Linked DNA regions of Arabidopsis thaliana. The protein of the gene in region 1 interacts with the protein of each later gene in a biochemical or structural test. Each region holds a gene or a part of one and is shown on either strand. Other genes may lie near its edges.

Region 1 (8,748 bases):
ATAGTTAATCCATTTATTGTGAATAGTAAATCTTAATTTGTAATATATTTTAGAAATTAAATAGGATGATGCAATAGCTCAAAATAGTCAAATCATACAGTGATAATTTACTCTTTCTTACTGACTGTTTATTTTAAATTTCATCAGCGTATATGTTTCAGTTAAATTGTTTATATTCTCATATTTATTGATCATACTCAAACTATGCAATTCATTAGTTAACACTTTTGATATTAGATATCCTTTAACAGAAACAACAACACTTTTGATGTTTGGGTACTTGGTTTCGTTCATCATTTGTATATGAAGTTGTTATATACATCAGAAGTTCTTATTCTCACACTTCTAGTGAAACAATCAAACTAAAAAACATCTAATGATTCTTTCGTAAGGAATATTATTTATAGGTCTCACGGGTGAAAATTTACTTTGACTCTTCGACAAAATGAAGGGATTACAATATTTCGAAACTCTACCAAATTAGTCAATCAAGCTACCATCCGTTTTTTTGTTTGTCTTGGCAGCATTTCTGATTTCTGAATTTTAACACTTGGGAATGATAGTTTAGCTTTAATAAAATATTACTAATGGGTGGGCTTAGGGTAAACAAAATTATGGACAAAAATCGATAGCGTCAAATCAATATACTTCTTTTGTACCTAACTAATCTAATTTTGTTTAGTTTTCAAACATAATAAGAAACATATTAATAATCAATGATTAATACATTATTTTGTAACTAACAATTTTCTATGTATAAACTCTACAATTCTTCATCAATAACTGATAAAAGCTATACTAAACCCCTAAAAATGTACAGTATATTTTTGAAATTTGATTATTAGGAACAGAGAGGAGTATTTTTCGAATATTTAAAAAGTGATGGTACCATATATTTCTAAATAAATGCTATTTTAGTTCTTTTGTCGGAAGGAAATGAAAGCACCTAATTATGGGGAACAAAATTAAAGAGCAAACTAACAGAACTTTATGTTCGTGTGGTTCCAAGGAAAAGAGAGATTGGAAAGGCTTAAACCGTTCTTAATTCACAGAATCACAGGCTATATATACCTACCCAACAAAAAACAAAATATTAGTGATCGATTTAATTTTTGCTTTACAACAAAAAGTTTCCCACGTTGTAGGACAATCACGAGGATCCTCCTTACGATTTTGACCCTACTCGTCATTAACTACATGAACCTAATTGCGTTAGACACACACACATCCTACAAACGTTATAATTCATCACATGTTTCAAAACCTAAGTTTATAGGCCAAACTGTAAATGACATGCTTGATTGAAGAGATAATTGCTAAATTTATTGGGAAAATCTTAATATTCTTTTTGCTATATAAATATTATTTCTTGATTTTGTACAACTCTTAGGTAATTTAGGTATCAAATGGTACATTGCGAAAACAGTAAGAAGCCTGCAAGTTTTACCCAATAAGAAATGGAAGGACCCATATATCAAGCCTAACTTTTAATGTAGACGACAAAAACAAATCTCATATAAATCATGCCGACATTACACAAACAAAATCACTTATGCAGTGTCTATGACTCGTTTATCATGTTGTTCTTGTACCGTTGATATTGTGGAAAATTATCTTGTTTTTATTTGTGTTAAATCAGATCTTTCTCCTCTTAGTAGCATGAGAAAGAGGATCAACCCGGGACGATATTCCATCCATAACGACTATAATTACAGTTAATGTTAAACTGTTTTTATTTATAAGACACAATTATAATACATCCATTAAGATTTTTAAAGTTTTCATAACAAAAAAAATAAAAAATATAATAATTAGACGCATTTTGATAATAGAAAAACTCTAAATTTTCAATAAAAGTCTCAACTGCCTTTACAGTCTAATATGATCATGAGAAGGGTTAAGAATAGAATAGTTGACTTTTAACTTAATGGAAGATTTACTGGAAAATGTCTCTATCTGTTATCTAGTATTGGACCCGTTAATAATGTGCAACGTATAATGTAGGGTACTAAATCCCAAGAAAAATCTAGATTTTCTAGATAACATATTTAACCAGAAAAGAAAAAAAATTGTAGTGGAATAGACCAGCATGGTTCAATCTGGTCGTTACTAAAACTACCAATCCAAAACCTACCAACTATAATACAATATGACTACAAATACGGTTTTGAAGATTAATTCGCGGCTAACCATCAAAAAATAATGTTTGACGATGGCTCATGGTTCCACTCGCCAACCATATACAGTTTATATTCTCTTTTGAGACCTCAAAATCAAGTTACTAGAACTCGATGATCTTACATGAATATAAAATGAAAATCAGCTCCAATGTAGTTTGAAGAAGGTATAAAACAGGTTTAGACCAACCGATTCCAAGACTTATGATGGCCCACAACAACAAAAATAACTAACAAATTTTTAGACCCTACACTACTCTTAGCATGCATGTGACAGCTTAAACTTAAATTTAAACAGTTAACATGAACAACCCCACTTGCACTAGGAAGACAGCAAATAGCAAACTTAAAGCAGTTTACGATTTCTGGTCTTTTAAGGCAAGGTTTAGTAACCCAGTAATTCCTTTTGATTTGAAATATATGAATAACCGAAATTAAAAAACAAAAAAAAAATCACAAAATACTAAAATTTGAAAGCCGAAATAATTCATTTTTCAATAGTTATAATCATCTTTTAAAAAGTAAGTTAGATCATAAAACCTAATATAAAACTTTTATTGGCAAAACTAATTAATCACGAGAAAATAATATTAAAGTTAGCTCATGTTATGTTTATATTAGGAATCTCTCATTTACTTTATTTTGTTTTGTTTTGTTTCTATAATGATATTAGGATTCAGGAAGACAATAAACAAAATATCAACAAGGAATCATGAAAGATACATTCGAACGGGCTCAGATCGACGCAGAAACAAAAAGCTTTGGAATGATTTAATAATACAAATTTGGCGGAAAGGTTTGAAGAATTTATACTTGGCATTCTATACTAGCGAACGAAAACAAAAGTTTAGTCAAATATTTAGGATTACCAAAAAATCAATATTCGTATACAAATGTGTTTTATTATAAACCATGATTTTTCATAACTTTATTCTTAGTTGTTTCAATTTGTTTTCTCTCATTTCTCGTTCCTATTGTAGAAAAAATTCCTGATTCTTTTTTCTTTTCTTTTGTTTTCCCATGTCAATTATAACCGCATTAGAAAAGGTTAGCACATGTTCATTTGCACAGAATGTAGTCAATGTACAATTCATCTATAATTTATCACCTTTTTGTTAAAAATATTTATAGCCATGTTATATATATTTTATCATGTTGTGTTTTAAACTCTAGATTTGTTCTTTCACAGTTTATGGGATTTATCATTTCATATATTTCCTCCTATGAGTAAGATGTCATTTTTAAATTCTTAATTAAGAATTTAGAAATCAAGTTTATTATTTTGTTAAAATTTATAAATTACGTATTTTTCCTTTATTAGTGAGATTAAGATATAAAGAGTCTAGCACACTAGAGAAATGAAAACATACATATATCTAGAAAGGGTTTATAAGAAATTAGTAAATGGAATCAGAACATGAAGGAGAAGGGAGGGGCCACCATACCGACGGGAATGAGAAGTATGGGACGGACAAGAAATCAAGTGTACACACATGAAAAAACCCACCACGTGAAGATCTCCTATTGGTGTGTCTTCTCCTAAGTACTAAGTATAAACCAAAGTCAAAACACAACAAAGACATATTGCTTGCGAGCCAGCGAGTGTGTCCGAGTGAGAAGAGAGTTTGGGACTTCACTGTTTAGAGAGCCTCATTCGCTACCTAGATTCGGTTTATCCACGTGGAGAGTTCACGTAGCTTCTATAATAATAATACATTATATAAGCTGTTTCGGTAAAATAATCTTAGAGTTTCACTTCCCATGCAAAAAGATTAAATGGACTACTATATTTTCTATATGAGTGTTTTGGAAATAATCTTCCAAGTTTATGGCTATTTAGTAAAACTCAATCCAAAATGAGAACAATAACTTTTTTTTTTTTTTTTTTGCAATGAGTACAATAAACTTATGATTGGTTTTGGGGACTAGAAAATAAAATAGAGACATATACTTTAAGAATAGTTGATGAGAAAATAAAACTTTTTTCGAAGAAAGAAAAAAAAATATACTCTGGCCCCTTACATATTCTGTCAAATGCCATTTTATTTTCTTTATTTTGCTTGGTCCATTTCTGGATTCCTGAAATGAACACACCATAATTTTCATGCCCATTTTTGTCCTCCCATTAACACTTACCAAACACCAAACGTACCTTCCTTCCTTTATATGTGTCTCTATGTCTATATATCACTCCCACCTTCAAATGCTAGGAAAGTGGACATCACACCATAGTCTGATAGTCATGAATCTCATCAAGTAGAAACCTCCAAAGAAACAGATTGCGTTTCCTCTTCTTCTTCCTCCTCTTTCGAATCTTATATTTTCGTGTCAAAAAAGAAACAAAATATGATGATATCTACCGCAAAAGCTCAATGTTTGCCACTTAAATTCTGTCTCATCTCTCAAGATTTTTGATCATCTCACACTTACTCCGTTCCGCATTTTACGCCTTTTCTTCACCATTGTTGCTTCTCGAATCGAAACCATATTGGTTTTGCAGCATTAATGGTGCACTGAGTCTTCTTAAAGCCGTTAACCTTTCCCTGCCAAATTCTCAACCAAAAAGAAAAAAAGATAACAAATGGGTCACAACAAGTTGCCATAAAGGTCCCAACAGAAGAAGAAAAGAGAAGTTTCCCCGTGTTGCTTTGTCACAAGCTTCATCACTATTTATAACTACCTTGCCAAGAAGAAAGCCTAAAAAGGTATAACAGTTTCTTTGTCTTTAGAGATCATCAAAAAGATGTCGATCTCTTGGACTCGAAATTTCTTCGAAAGATTCTGCGTCGAGGAATACAATATAGACACCATAAAACAGAGTAGTTTCCTCTCTGCCGATCTTCTACCATCTCTTGGAGCCAGGATCAACCAATCTACTAAGCTCCGCAAACACATAATCTCTCCTTTTAATCCACGTTACAGGTAATTTTCTCATCTACTAAACTCTGTTTTAAGTACTCTGTTTTCAACTATGTTTTCAACTATTCAGGTTATAAGTAGTTTTAACTACTCTGTTTTTACTCACGTTATAAGTATATTTAAAGACTCTGTTTTCAATCCTCTGTTTGTTGAAACAGAGCGTGGGAGATGTGGCTAGTATTACTAGTTATTTACTCAGCTTGGATTTGCCCATTTCAATTTGCTTTCATCACCTATAAAAAAGACGCGATTTTCATCATCGACAACATTGTTAATGGCTTCTTCGCCATTGATATTATTCTCACCTTCTTCGTCGCTTATCTCGATAGCCACTCCTATCTTCTAGTTGACAGTCCTAAGAAAATAGCAATAAGGTGAGAAACCTTTTTTCTTAACTTGAAACCTTTTATAAGTGAATGAGAATCTCAAAGTATGTTTTGAAATTGTAACATTTTCAGGTACCTTTCGACGTGGTTCGCTTTCGATGTTTGTTCCACAGCACCATTTCAGCCACTAAGCCTCTTGTTTAACTACAACGGAAGCGAACTAGGATTCAGAATTCTTAGCATGCTCAGGTTATGGCGTCTCCGGCGAGTTAGCTCGCTATTTGCAAGGTTTGCTTCTATGCTAACTAAGAGACCATACTCTTCTTAGGGTTTAACTAAGAAAGTGCTTACTCAAGTCTAACTAACTCTTACCTTTGCTTCAGGCTTGAGAAAGATATCCGTTTCAACTATTTCTGGATACGTTGCACAAAACTCATTTCGGTTAGTTCCAAAACAGAGCAAAACTAATCTCACTTATAATAAAGCATTTTAAGCTTAGGGCTGTCCATTTAGGTGATCTATTCTTAGGGTTTATTTGTCTTTTAAATGGACACCATATTAAAGCTAGTGACTTACACGTGCTTGTTGATCTCAGGTCACTTTGTTCGCTATACATTGTGCTGGATGTTTCAACTACCTGATTGCAGATAGATATCCTAATCCAAGAAAGACATGGATTGGAGCTGTGTATCCAAATTTCAAAGAAGCAAGTCTATGGAATAGATATGTGACTGCTCTTTACTGGTCCATTACGACATTAACGACCACGGGATATGGAGATTTTCATGCTGAGAACCCAAGAGAAATGCTTTTTGACATTTTCTTCATGATGTTCAACCTCGGTTTGACAGCTTACCTCATTGGAAATATGACCAACCTCGTCGTTCATTGGACTAGCCGAACCAGAACCTTTGTAAGTTTGATCACTTTCTTTTAGTCTAGGCATGTTCATTTCGGATAAAGGTTCGGGTAATAGCGTGGGGTTTACGTACTTTTGAGTATTTTAAGTTGACTAAAATAATATTGAGTATTACTAATCTGTAATGCTTTATTGCTTTGTGTTAAACAGAGGGATTCAGTGAGAGCTGCTTCAGAGTTTGCTTCAAGAAATCAACTCCCACATGACATACAAGATCAAATGTTATCACACATTTGCTTAAAGTTCAAAACAGAGGGCTTGAAACAACAAGAGACCTTGAACAATCTGCCAAAAGCAATCCGGTCAAGCATTGCAAACTATTTATTCTTCCCCATTGTTCACAACATTTACCTCTTTCAAGGAGTTTCTCGTAACTTCCTCTTTCAATTGGTAAAATTGTATTCTCTAACCTTTTTTCTTAACGTTTAATATGTAAGAGGTGACCAACTCCATGTACCTTTTCATGTTCAAGGTTTCAGATATAGACGCTGAGTATTTCCCACCAAAAGAAGATATAATTCTACAAAACGAAGCTCCTACTGATCTTTACATTCTGGTGTCAGGAGCAGTGGTGAGTGAAATATATCGGTTATATGTAAATATGTGAATAACAGTTAGGAATCTTGTAACATTGTGTATTGTACAGGACTTCACTGTCTACGTTGATGGACATGATCAGTTTCAAGGGAAAGCAGTAATTGGAGAAACATTTGGAGAGGTTGGAGTTTTATACTATAGACCACAACCATTCACAGTAAGAACAACCGAGCTATCTCAAATACTGCGGATAAGCAGAACATCGCTGATGAGTGCGATGCATGCTCATGCTGACGATGGACGAGTCATCATGAACAATCTCTTCATGGTATGTGAGTTATTATAGAAATGTTTCTATAGTTAAAACAAACTCTAAACTCATTTTTGGCTATAAAACTTTCAGAAACTTAGAGGGCAACAGTCAATAGCAATAGATGATTCGAATACTAGTGGTCACGAAAACAGAGATTTCAAAAGCATGGGATGGGAAGAGTGGAGAGATTCAAGAAAAGATGGCTATGGTTTAGATGTTACGAATCCGACTTCCGACACTGCTCTAATGGATGCGATTCACAAGGAAGATACTGAAATGGTTAAGAAGATACTTAAGGAACAAAAGATAGAGAGAGCCAAAGTGGAAAGATCAAGTAGTGAAACCGCTGGAAGAAGTTACGCTAACGATTCATCGAAAAAAGATCCATATTGCAGCTCAAGCAACCAAATCATCAAGCCATGCAAACGAGAAGAAAAGAGAGTTACCATCCACATGATGTCTGAGAGCAAGAACGGGAAGTTGATACTCTTACCATCATCCATAGAAGAGCTTCTAAGACTTGCAAGTGAGAAGTTTGGAGGCTGCAACTTCACAAAGATCACCAATGCGGACAACGCTGAGATTGATGATTTAGATGTCATTTGGGATGGTGATCATTTGTATTTTTCATCAAATTGAGTTTGAAAACTCGACTTCATTTATAGAGCATGTATATCTGCAGATAATGTATTTTTACCCGGTTTCATAGAAAAGTCTAGATTATCAAAAGCAGAGTATACAAAACTGACATTAATTGACACAAAAACACAATCTTATTTCACAGCTTGACTATGATACATTGATACCGTTCTGTTTGAACACAAAACATTATTCTACACGAGTCTTCTGCTTTGAACTTGTTTCACATGATAAATCAAGAAAATTTTATTTTTCTCTATTATCAATAAAGATTTTAAGAAATTTACCTATTAAAAAGACGAAATTTTTTTTTCAGAAAATTAAGCGTATATTCAGTTTGATTTATTTTAAATTTAAACACTTCAACATGTTTGTAATAAAAAAAAATCAAAATAAGAAATTCTCGAATGTATTTTATATTCAATCAACGAATAAAATAAATTATTCCACGAACATGAACTGCATGCGTCCCACCTCATTTTATACGAAATTTCCATGTTACCCTCTCTAATACTATTCTCCTTCCTCTTCCACAGACCCAATTTCGTCATTCAATTCCAAAACTCACACCTCTATATAAATCCAGCAAAAAGTCCCCAAAAAGTCACCACCACAAATCTCATCGAAATGTCGTCTCAAGAAACGAAATCAGATCAAAGAGAAGGAGCAGAGATCTGCAATGGCGAATCAAACTGCAAACAGAAAGCCAAAGAGATTTTATCAACCATGAATCTACCCAAAGGTCTTCTTCCTCTAGACAACATGACAGAGATCGGTCACAACAAATCAACCGGTTATGTCTGGATCAAGATCAAGAACAAGGTTCAACATCGGTTTAAAGCCATTGGACGAAACGTATCTTACGATTCGGAGGTTACTGCGATCCTTGAGAATCGTCGGATGAGTCAGCTCACGGGA
Region 2 (7,391 bases), on another chromosome or scaffold:
CTCATTTTCCTCACGACCTCTCCTAAGTGAAAAACAGCAAGAACCCATTATTCGACTCTGTGACTAATTTTTGTCATTAACCATTAAACCGGGAAAGTCTAGCCATATAGTGTTTGTTTAATCAGCCAAAAATTACAAGTTCAGTAAAAGAGTGTGTCTTTCTTTGATGAATTGGACGATTACGCGAAAATATTAAATGAGCTAAACGATCAATCGTCGTTACCATTATTCCAGTTTACGACATATCTTTACTGCATGTAAATGTTTCAGTTGATTTCCTTGAATCAAACCTTGGAGACGACATCTTCATCATGATCCAGTGCCATAAATGTATATAAGTGTGATATATTTATGATTACATTTTGAGGTATGTATATAAATAGATATATAGTGGATAATTCGAAGTATTTGTATTTGTCGCTGGTTACTATATTAGCTGAGGCACCGACACTCCCAAACGTTACAAAAATATCGAATAGTTGGAACTTGGATCCTATCGACATTGTACGTCGTCGTTTTGTGCTACGAAGAGACGTGGTTTTGTTTTTAGTTTAGTTATGTGTTGTTTTTGTCTTTGTTATATAAAACTAAATGACAAAATTTGCACACAAGAAAGAAACCAAAAGATTTTAGATCCTCTCGATCGGACGTACGCTAGAAGGTTCTTCCGTAATTTTCATATAAATGATCTTTATCGTGTCATTGCAACGTTAAATTCGATTGAGACGTGTCAAATTAATTTCTTCTAACTATGCGGTGTCATTATATTACGAATTAGCAAAAAAAGATGAAAAATGCATGTGAGATCTACCTAAGATACTGTTCTAAAATATATACGGTTTTCTTGCGCGATTAGAGATCAACATACGATTAGAGATCGGCGATTAAAGATTTGCTGGAAAATGACTCATATATATTTCCCAATCCTCGCAGATAAAATAAAACGGCACTTTACCGTTTTCTTTAGAAGTTAGTCGAAGACAAGTATTCTAAAAATTCAACAAAAACAAGAAACGAAAAGTAAACTACAAAATGTTAGAAAAGACTCACATGAAACACTCACTGTGCCTCTCTAATCAAATGGAAAAAAGTGGAGAGTTTAAACTTATAAGTATAGTATAGATGATAGAAATCTTCTAAAAACGATACCCGTGAACTAAGTTGATCCTGTGATCTTCATAATCCATACAATTTCAACAGAAAAATACTTTTTTGTGTTTTAAAAAATACTGCGAAAAGCTATATAAATAGTAAGATAAATTGGTTTAAATCCAAAGGTATGATAAAATTCTTTCTCAAAAACGTCATATTTGGTTAGTAGTACTCTTAATCGAGTGGTTCATCAAAATGTATCGGTTTATATATATCAGATCTTGAATAATTTGCAAAAACTCAAAATTTCTTACAACTAATAGCAATATATCATGTATCATATAGCTAGGTAAAAGTAAAATCATACGTTTTAAAAAAACTGTGGTAGGGAATTATATATGAAGCCGTTTATAATAGCATGCATGTGCTTAACATAGCAAAAAACCATATGATTAGTATCGGGGTACATGAAAGAAAAGGGCAGATAAAGCTAGATTAGGATTTGATAACGTACGAGAAAAAATCGAGAAAAAATGTCAACCCTTGGTGGGAGATTTAGGCGAATTTTCTAATCTATCTTCCTCTTATTTTTTTCTTGGTGGCCAATAAAACTAGAGTTTTTAGAGGGTAACGAATCCAAACCCCACACTCACATGCATCGAATCCAATCTGTTTCTCCAACCCATTCATTACCAAAACAGCAGATAAATTTTATAATTCATCAAGTCTACCAATATTAATTATCTTCTCATAATCATAAACTTGGTTCTCTTTATCCAATATTATCTTCTCATAATCATAAACTTGATTCTCAAACATTATTACTAAATCTATTTTTCTTTTCCCCTTCTAATATTCTTTACTTTAACAATACAAATACAACTCCTTTTAAGACTTTTTTTTATAGTAAAGAGTTATACATAACATGTTTGGTAACATAGTAAAATAGCTAATATAATAGACCTTTTCTAAAAATTGTCAAAATACAATAAGTGTAATTGGTGGATAACATGTCTACTTTAAAAAACTTTTTAGAGTATTAAAATTGTCGTCCCATAAACTATATAAATGATCATCATAAATGTATTACAATAACAGCATATCAAGACTTGACGGTTATCAGCCAAAATCATTAAATTTTGGAATTAGATGTTAATAATATACAAGTGTCATGTCGATCTCTTGTTTACATATCCAAACATCTCTATGTGTGACGTGAGTTACTACTTACTAGAATATGGAGTAAGATAATATGGGCTTCCTAAAAGGCCTATACAGAAACAAAGCCCAACAACCTAAAACCCAGTGTGAACGTGAAGGACTTGAAATATTCCAAAGTTGAGTGACTGATGAAACCTTTCACGTGACAGTGACTTGATTTTATTCGTATACGGGCAAAGTTCTTCCATTACTGCAAAAACTCTTCTATTAATGACCAACTTTTCATAAAAGAAAGTACACGTGTCTGTCATTAGATTGGTAGGTACATGGAGACTACACTAAAGTCATTCACATGGGATTCTTTGACCCATTAGGAGCCAAATAAAAATCTTCTCTTTTTAGTCTTTTTTTTCCATCTTAATTAAAATTACGAGATCACGCTTTCTTTTTTAGTACGAGGGATCAGCATCTTAATTAGATCACGAATTAAAATCACATATTTTATACAAATTGCGACTTAACCGGAATACCTTTAGACCGGATAAATTCTTACCAACAACCAATATCTGGAGGTTCAATATGGTTTGGTACCTAATTTTGTACCGGAAATTGCAGAAATCATCGTATTCGAGTGTTGGATTTGCTATGATATTACATTCAAAATTTTGGTACATATTGGTTGATCATGAAAACCGGAAAAGTAAAACCAAACCGGTAGCTTACCGTATTTTGCTAAGTGTTGTCACTTATTAAGATTGGTAATAGAGTACTTATTGTCTGTTCTTCTTCATTCATTACAACAAACTCTTTGAGACCTAAAGAGAGAGAGAGCGATAGTGAGATTTAGATCAACAGATTTGAATCGATTTCTGAAAACATGCAGTACAAGAATCTGGGGAAATCGGGTTTAAAAGTGAGCACGCTCTCGTTCGGAGCGTGGGTTACGTTCGGGAACCAGCTCGATGTGAAAGAAGCGAAATCGATTCTTCAGTGTTGTCGTGATCATGGAGTCAATTTCTTCGATAACGCTGAGGTTTACGCTAATGGTCGCGCTGAGGAGATTATGGGTCAAGCGATTCGTGAACTGGGTTGGCGTCGATCCGATATCGTCATCTCTACCAAGATCTTCTGGGGTGGTCCTGGTCCTAACGATAAGGGTTTATCTAGGAAACATATCGTTGAAGGCACTAAAGCTTCTCTCAAACGACTTGATATGGATTACGTTGATGTGCTCTATTGCCACAGGTGACCAATTTCAGATTTGTTTTTTTATTTAGTGATTTTATTTTTTTTCACTTGGTTCTTTGAAGATCTAGGGTTTTGATATGATCTGATTTGAGTGTAAGGTTTATCTGAATATTTCTGGTGTACTATGTTGTCTGCGCATTTAATTTTCTTACATGTGCTTGCCTTTAGTACAAATTGCTGTTTTTGAATTTATAAAATTTACAATTTGAATCCACTTATGATGTAGCTTAGTGCTGTATAGTGTGGATCTATTTGGTTTCCACTTTTATTTCATATCTGATAATTGGGATCTGCATTTTGCCATACATTGCACAAGATATTTTGGAAAAGTGGCATCTTTGCATTGATCTAAGTGTCACTAGATTCTTTGATTGACATATGTTTATTAAAAATGTTTCCTTTTTTTGTGTGAATTGGGTCATTTATTACAGGCCGGATGCTTCAACTCCTATCGAAGAGACTGTGAGGGCGATGAACTACGTGATTGATAAGGGTTGGGCCTTCTATTGGGGAACCAGTGAATGGTCAGCTCAACAAATTACGGAGGCATGGGGAGCTGCTGACCGGTTGGATTTGGTTGGTCCAATTGTCGAACAGCCAGAATACAACATGTTCGCTAGGCACAAAGTTTGTAATCTGACTCTCTTTTTCTTTAATTTACTTTCATGTTTGCGTCTTATCTTGTACAGTCTTAAGTTGTTGTAGTCTCGTGTTATGTAGCTCAAGTTATGCTCTTCTGTTATGTAGGTTGAGACAGAGTTTCTTCCTCTGTACACCAACCATGGTATAGGTCTCACTACCTGGAGCCCACTTGCATCTGGTGTGCTCACTGGTAAATACAACAAGGGAGCTATTCCCTCAGACAGCCGATTTGCATTGGAGAACTACAAAGTATTCCTTTTTTTTCCTTTTTCTTGTGTATTCTTGGTCATATTTGCTAAGACCTCAATCTGCTTCTGCATCTAACTAATACACTGGTACATGTCTTGGTTTTAATTTCTTTCGCAGAACCTTGCCAATAGATCACTTGTGGATGACGTGCTGAGGAAAGTTAGCGGTCTCAAACCCATTGCAGATGAGCTAGGTGTAACCTTGGCTCAGCTTGCAATCGCATGGTGTGCTTCAAATCCTAATGTGTCATCTGTTATCACTGGTGCCACAAGGGAGTCACAGGTTAGTTCTTGATCGCTTATAAAGCATTAACATAGCGAGTCTCGGTCTAGATTTGGATCCAAGATCTGAAAGATTTTGTTTCTTTTTTTGTACCTTGACAGATTCAAGAAAATATGAAAGCTGTTGATGTGATCCCATTGTTGACCCCTATTGTTCTGGACAAGATTGAGCAAGTGATACAGAGCAAACCAAAACGTCCTGAATCATATAGGTAAAACCAACATCCAAGATCTCTCTTCCCTATTCAATCGTTTACAAAAGAGTGTTGCAGGAAAAAGAAAACATTAGAAGAAGCTCTGTGATGTATGTTGTTGGATGTTGTCTCGTTTTCGCTTTGTTTGTTCTCTTTAGCAGCTTATGCATTTTTAAGACTCAGACAGAGAGAAAGAGAGACTAATGTTTTTTTTTAGTTTTTCTTGTTTCATCATTTAAAAAACGGTCTTATTTGTTACTTGTTAGTGCAACTTAAAGTTTGGTTCTTGTAGTTTGCCATGTCATGACGTCAATATATTGAATAGCTCATCAAACAATTCTGGTTATATCTTAATGTTGTGAAGATTTTAATTTAGTGCAAGGGGGTTGATATGTTATTAATAAAGATTTAATGGAGGTATTTAAAGCTCAACGTGCACAACATAATGTCTCAACTATATACCATGTTTTTAAAAACATACATGCATAGACATCCTACACAATCTTTTTAGGTAAGATCCCAATAAAAATCTAAATTTGGATGATCTGTTTTATTTGGTTAACAAAACTAAGAGATGAGTAAAGAAAATAAAAGAGTTTCTGGAATTGGCTAAAAAAAGAAAGAAATAGATAAAAACGTTCCCTCAAAAACCTCCACATGCAATTTATGAATTTACTATTTGAAAAAAATAAAAATAAGATAAGACAAAATTATTAATAGATTGAAGATGATTTCACCCATGATTCAAGTGCAACGAATAAAATCAAAAATAATTTCAAGAATAAGAAATAAAAAGAGAGAATTTCGAGAGAGAAAGGTTTAGTTTTTATTTTGTTTGGAGTTTGTCACCCACCCGCGTTATTTTGAGAGCGCTTCTCTGCGTCTCTCTTCTCTCTCTCTCTCTCGCAAATCAAAAACCTCAACTTTTGAAAAACTTCAATCTCTAGAAACATTCTTCTCTTTTACCCAAAAATCTCATCTTTTGTTTGTTTGTTATTCTTCTCCTTCATTGTTAATCTCATTGGCCATTTTTCCCTAGGTAATCAAATTCATCTAAAGCTCCAATTTTTCAATTCGATTACACCACATTCGGTGTCATCAATGATCTCGTTGCTTATATATGTATATACAATTGATTTGTGTGATCAACATTTGCAGAAAAAATTGATTTTGAAATTTGTTTCTCGTTGTTGTTGTTGTTGTTGTTATGCAGGGTAATTTCTGGTCTAATTCGTTTGAATGAGACTCTGGTCTTTGTTTGATTTGGTATGATCTTGTAGCAATATACCCTGAAGATGTTTGTTGGAGGTTTGCTGATAGACAAAATTGCTTGTGGCTTGTGAATCTCCATTACCTGTTCGCTGTATTTCCTCAAAGAGCGTAAGAGAATCCTGTATTTTCCTCTCAACATTTTTTGTTTTGAAATTTGGGGAGTTGAAGAACAGAAATTGGTTACTCAGAATCTGTGATACAAGAGATTGTGCAGAAGAAAGAATAAAGCGTTTTTGGTTCTTGAGAACATGAGAATGGAGTTTCCTGGCAGCTCCAATCAGCATTTAGGTAGGGATAGGTTCAATGGAGAAGTTGGTTGCGGTAATAACTGTTCTCAGACAGGAGAGGAATTTTCAAATGAGTTTTTGAGGGATTTTGGTGCTCAACGAAGACTACAACATGGTGGTGTTAACAGAAATGTTGAGGGTAATTATAATAATCGCCATCTTGTTTACGAGGATTTCAACAGAATTCTTGGCCTTCAAAGAGTTGATTCCAACATGTCAGAAGGTATTAATTCCTCGAATGGTTACTTTGCTGAGTCAAATGTTGCAGACTCACCTCGGAAGATGTTTCAAACTGCAATATCAGATGTTTATTTGCCTGAAGTATTGAAGCTTCTTTGTAGCTTCGGGGGAAGGATCTTACAGCGGCCTGGTGATGGCAAGCTTAGATACATTGGAGGGGAGACTCGGATTATCTCAATACGCAAACATGTTGGATTAAACGAATTGATGCACAAGACTTATGCTTTGTGCAACCATCCGCATACAATCAAGTATCAATTACCAGGAGAAGATCTTGATGCCCTTATATCGGTTTGCTCAGATGAGGATCTTCTTCATATGATTGAAGAGTATCAAGAAGCTGAAACAAAGGCTGGATCCCAGAGGATTAGGGTCTTTCTTGTACCTTCCACAGAATCATCAGAGAGTCCTAAAATTTTCCATGAAAGGAATATGAACATAAACCGAAACACGAACCAGCAGACGGATATAGATCATTATCAGTATGTTTCAGCTCTTAATGGTATTGTAGATGTGAGTCCTCAAAAGAGTTCCAGCGGCCAAAGTGGAACAAGTCAGACCACACAATTTGGGAATGCTTCAGAATTTAGCCCTACATTTCATCTTCGAGACTCGCCTACTTCTGTTCATACATGGGAACACAAAGACAGCAACAGTCCAACCTTCATGAAACCATATGGGAACACGAATGCTGTTCATTTTATGCCGAAAATGCAGATTCCCAG

Evidence for each region.
Region 2: the proteins of KAT1 (region 1) and KAB1 form a complex in vitro, tested with the Arabidopsis thaliana proteins (one study listed by BioGRID).

The regions. Positions count from the first base shown.
Region 1 is NC_003076.8:18,742,734-18,751,481, reverse strand, and holds KAT1 (1), read left to right. Parts: upstream 1-4,075; 5' UTR 4,076-4,920; coding exon 4,921-5,099; intron 5,100-5,254; coding exon 5,255-5,470; intron 5,471-5,554; coding exon 5,555-5,710; intron 5,711-5,805; coding exon 5,806-5,863; intron 5,864-6,017; coding exon 6,018-6,335; intron 6,336-6,491; coding exon 6,492-6,731; intron 6,732-6,813; coding exon 6,814-6,912; intron 6,913-6,987; coding exon 6,988-7,206; intron 7,207-7,281; coding exon 7,282-7,830; 3' UTR 7,831-7,972; downstream 7,973-8,748. Other genes in the region: AT5G46230 (hypothetical protein (Protein of unknown function, DUF538)), read left to right, coding at 8,458-8,748. UniProt on the Arabidopsis thaliana protein: Highly selective inward-rectifying potassium channel. This voltage-gated channel could mediate long-term potassium influx into guard cells leading to stomatal opening.
Region 2 is NC_003070.9:1,310,532-1,317,922, forward strand, and holds KAB1 (potassium channel beta subunit 1), read left to right. Parts: upstream 1-2,911; 5' UTR 2,912-3,130; coding exon 3,131-3,498; intron 3,499-3,932; coding exon 3,933-4,128; intron 4,129-4,248; coding exon 4,249-4,392; intron 4,393-4,509; coding exon 4,510-4,674; intron 4,675-4,775; coding exon 4,776-4,889; 3' UTR 4,890-5,292; downstream 5,293-7,391. Other genes in the region: AT1G04700 (PB1 domain-containing protein tyrosine kinase), read left to right, coding at 6,388-7,391. UniProt on the Arabidopsis thaliana protein: Probable accessory potassium channel protein which modulates the activity of the pore-forming alpha subunit.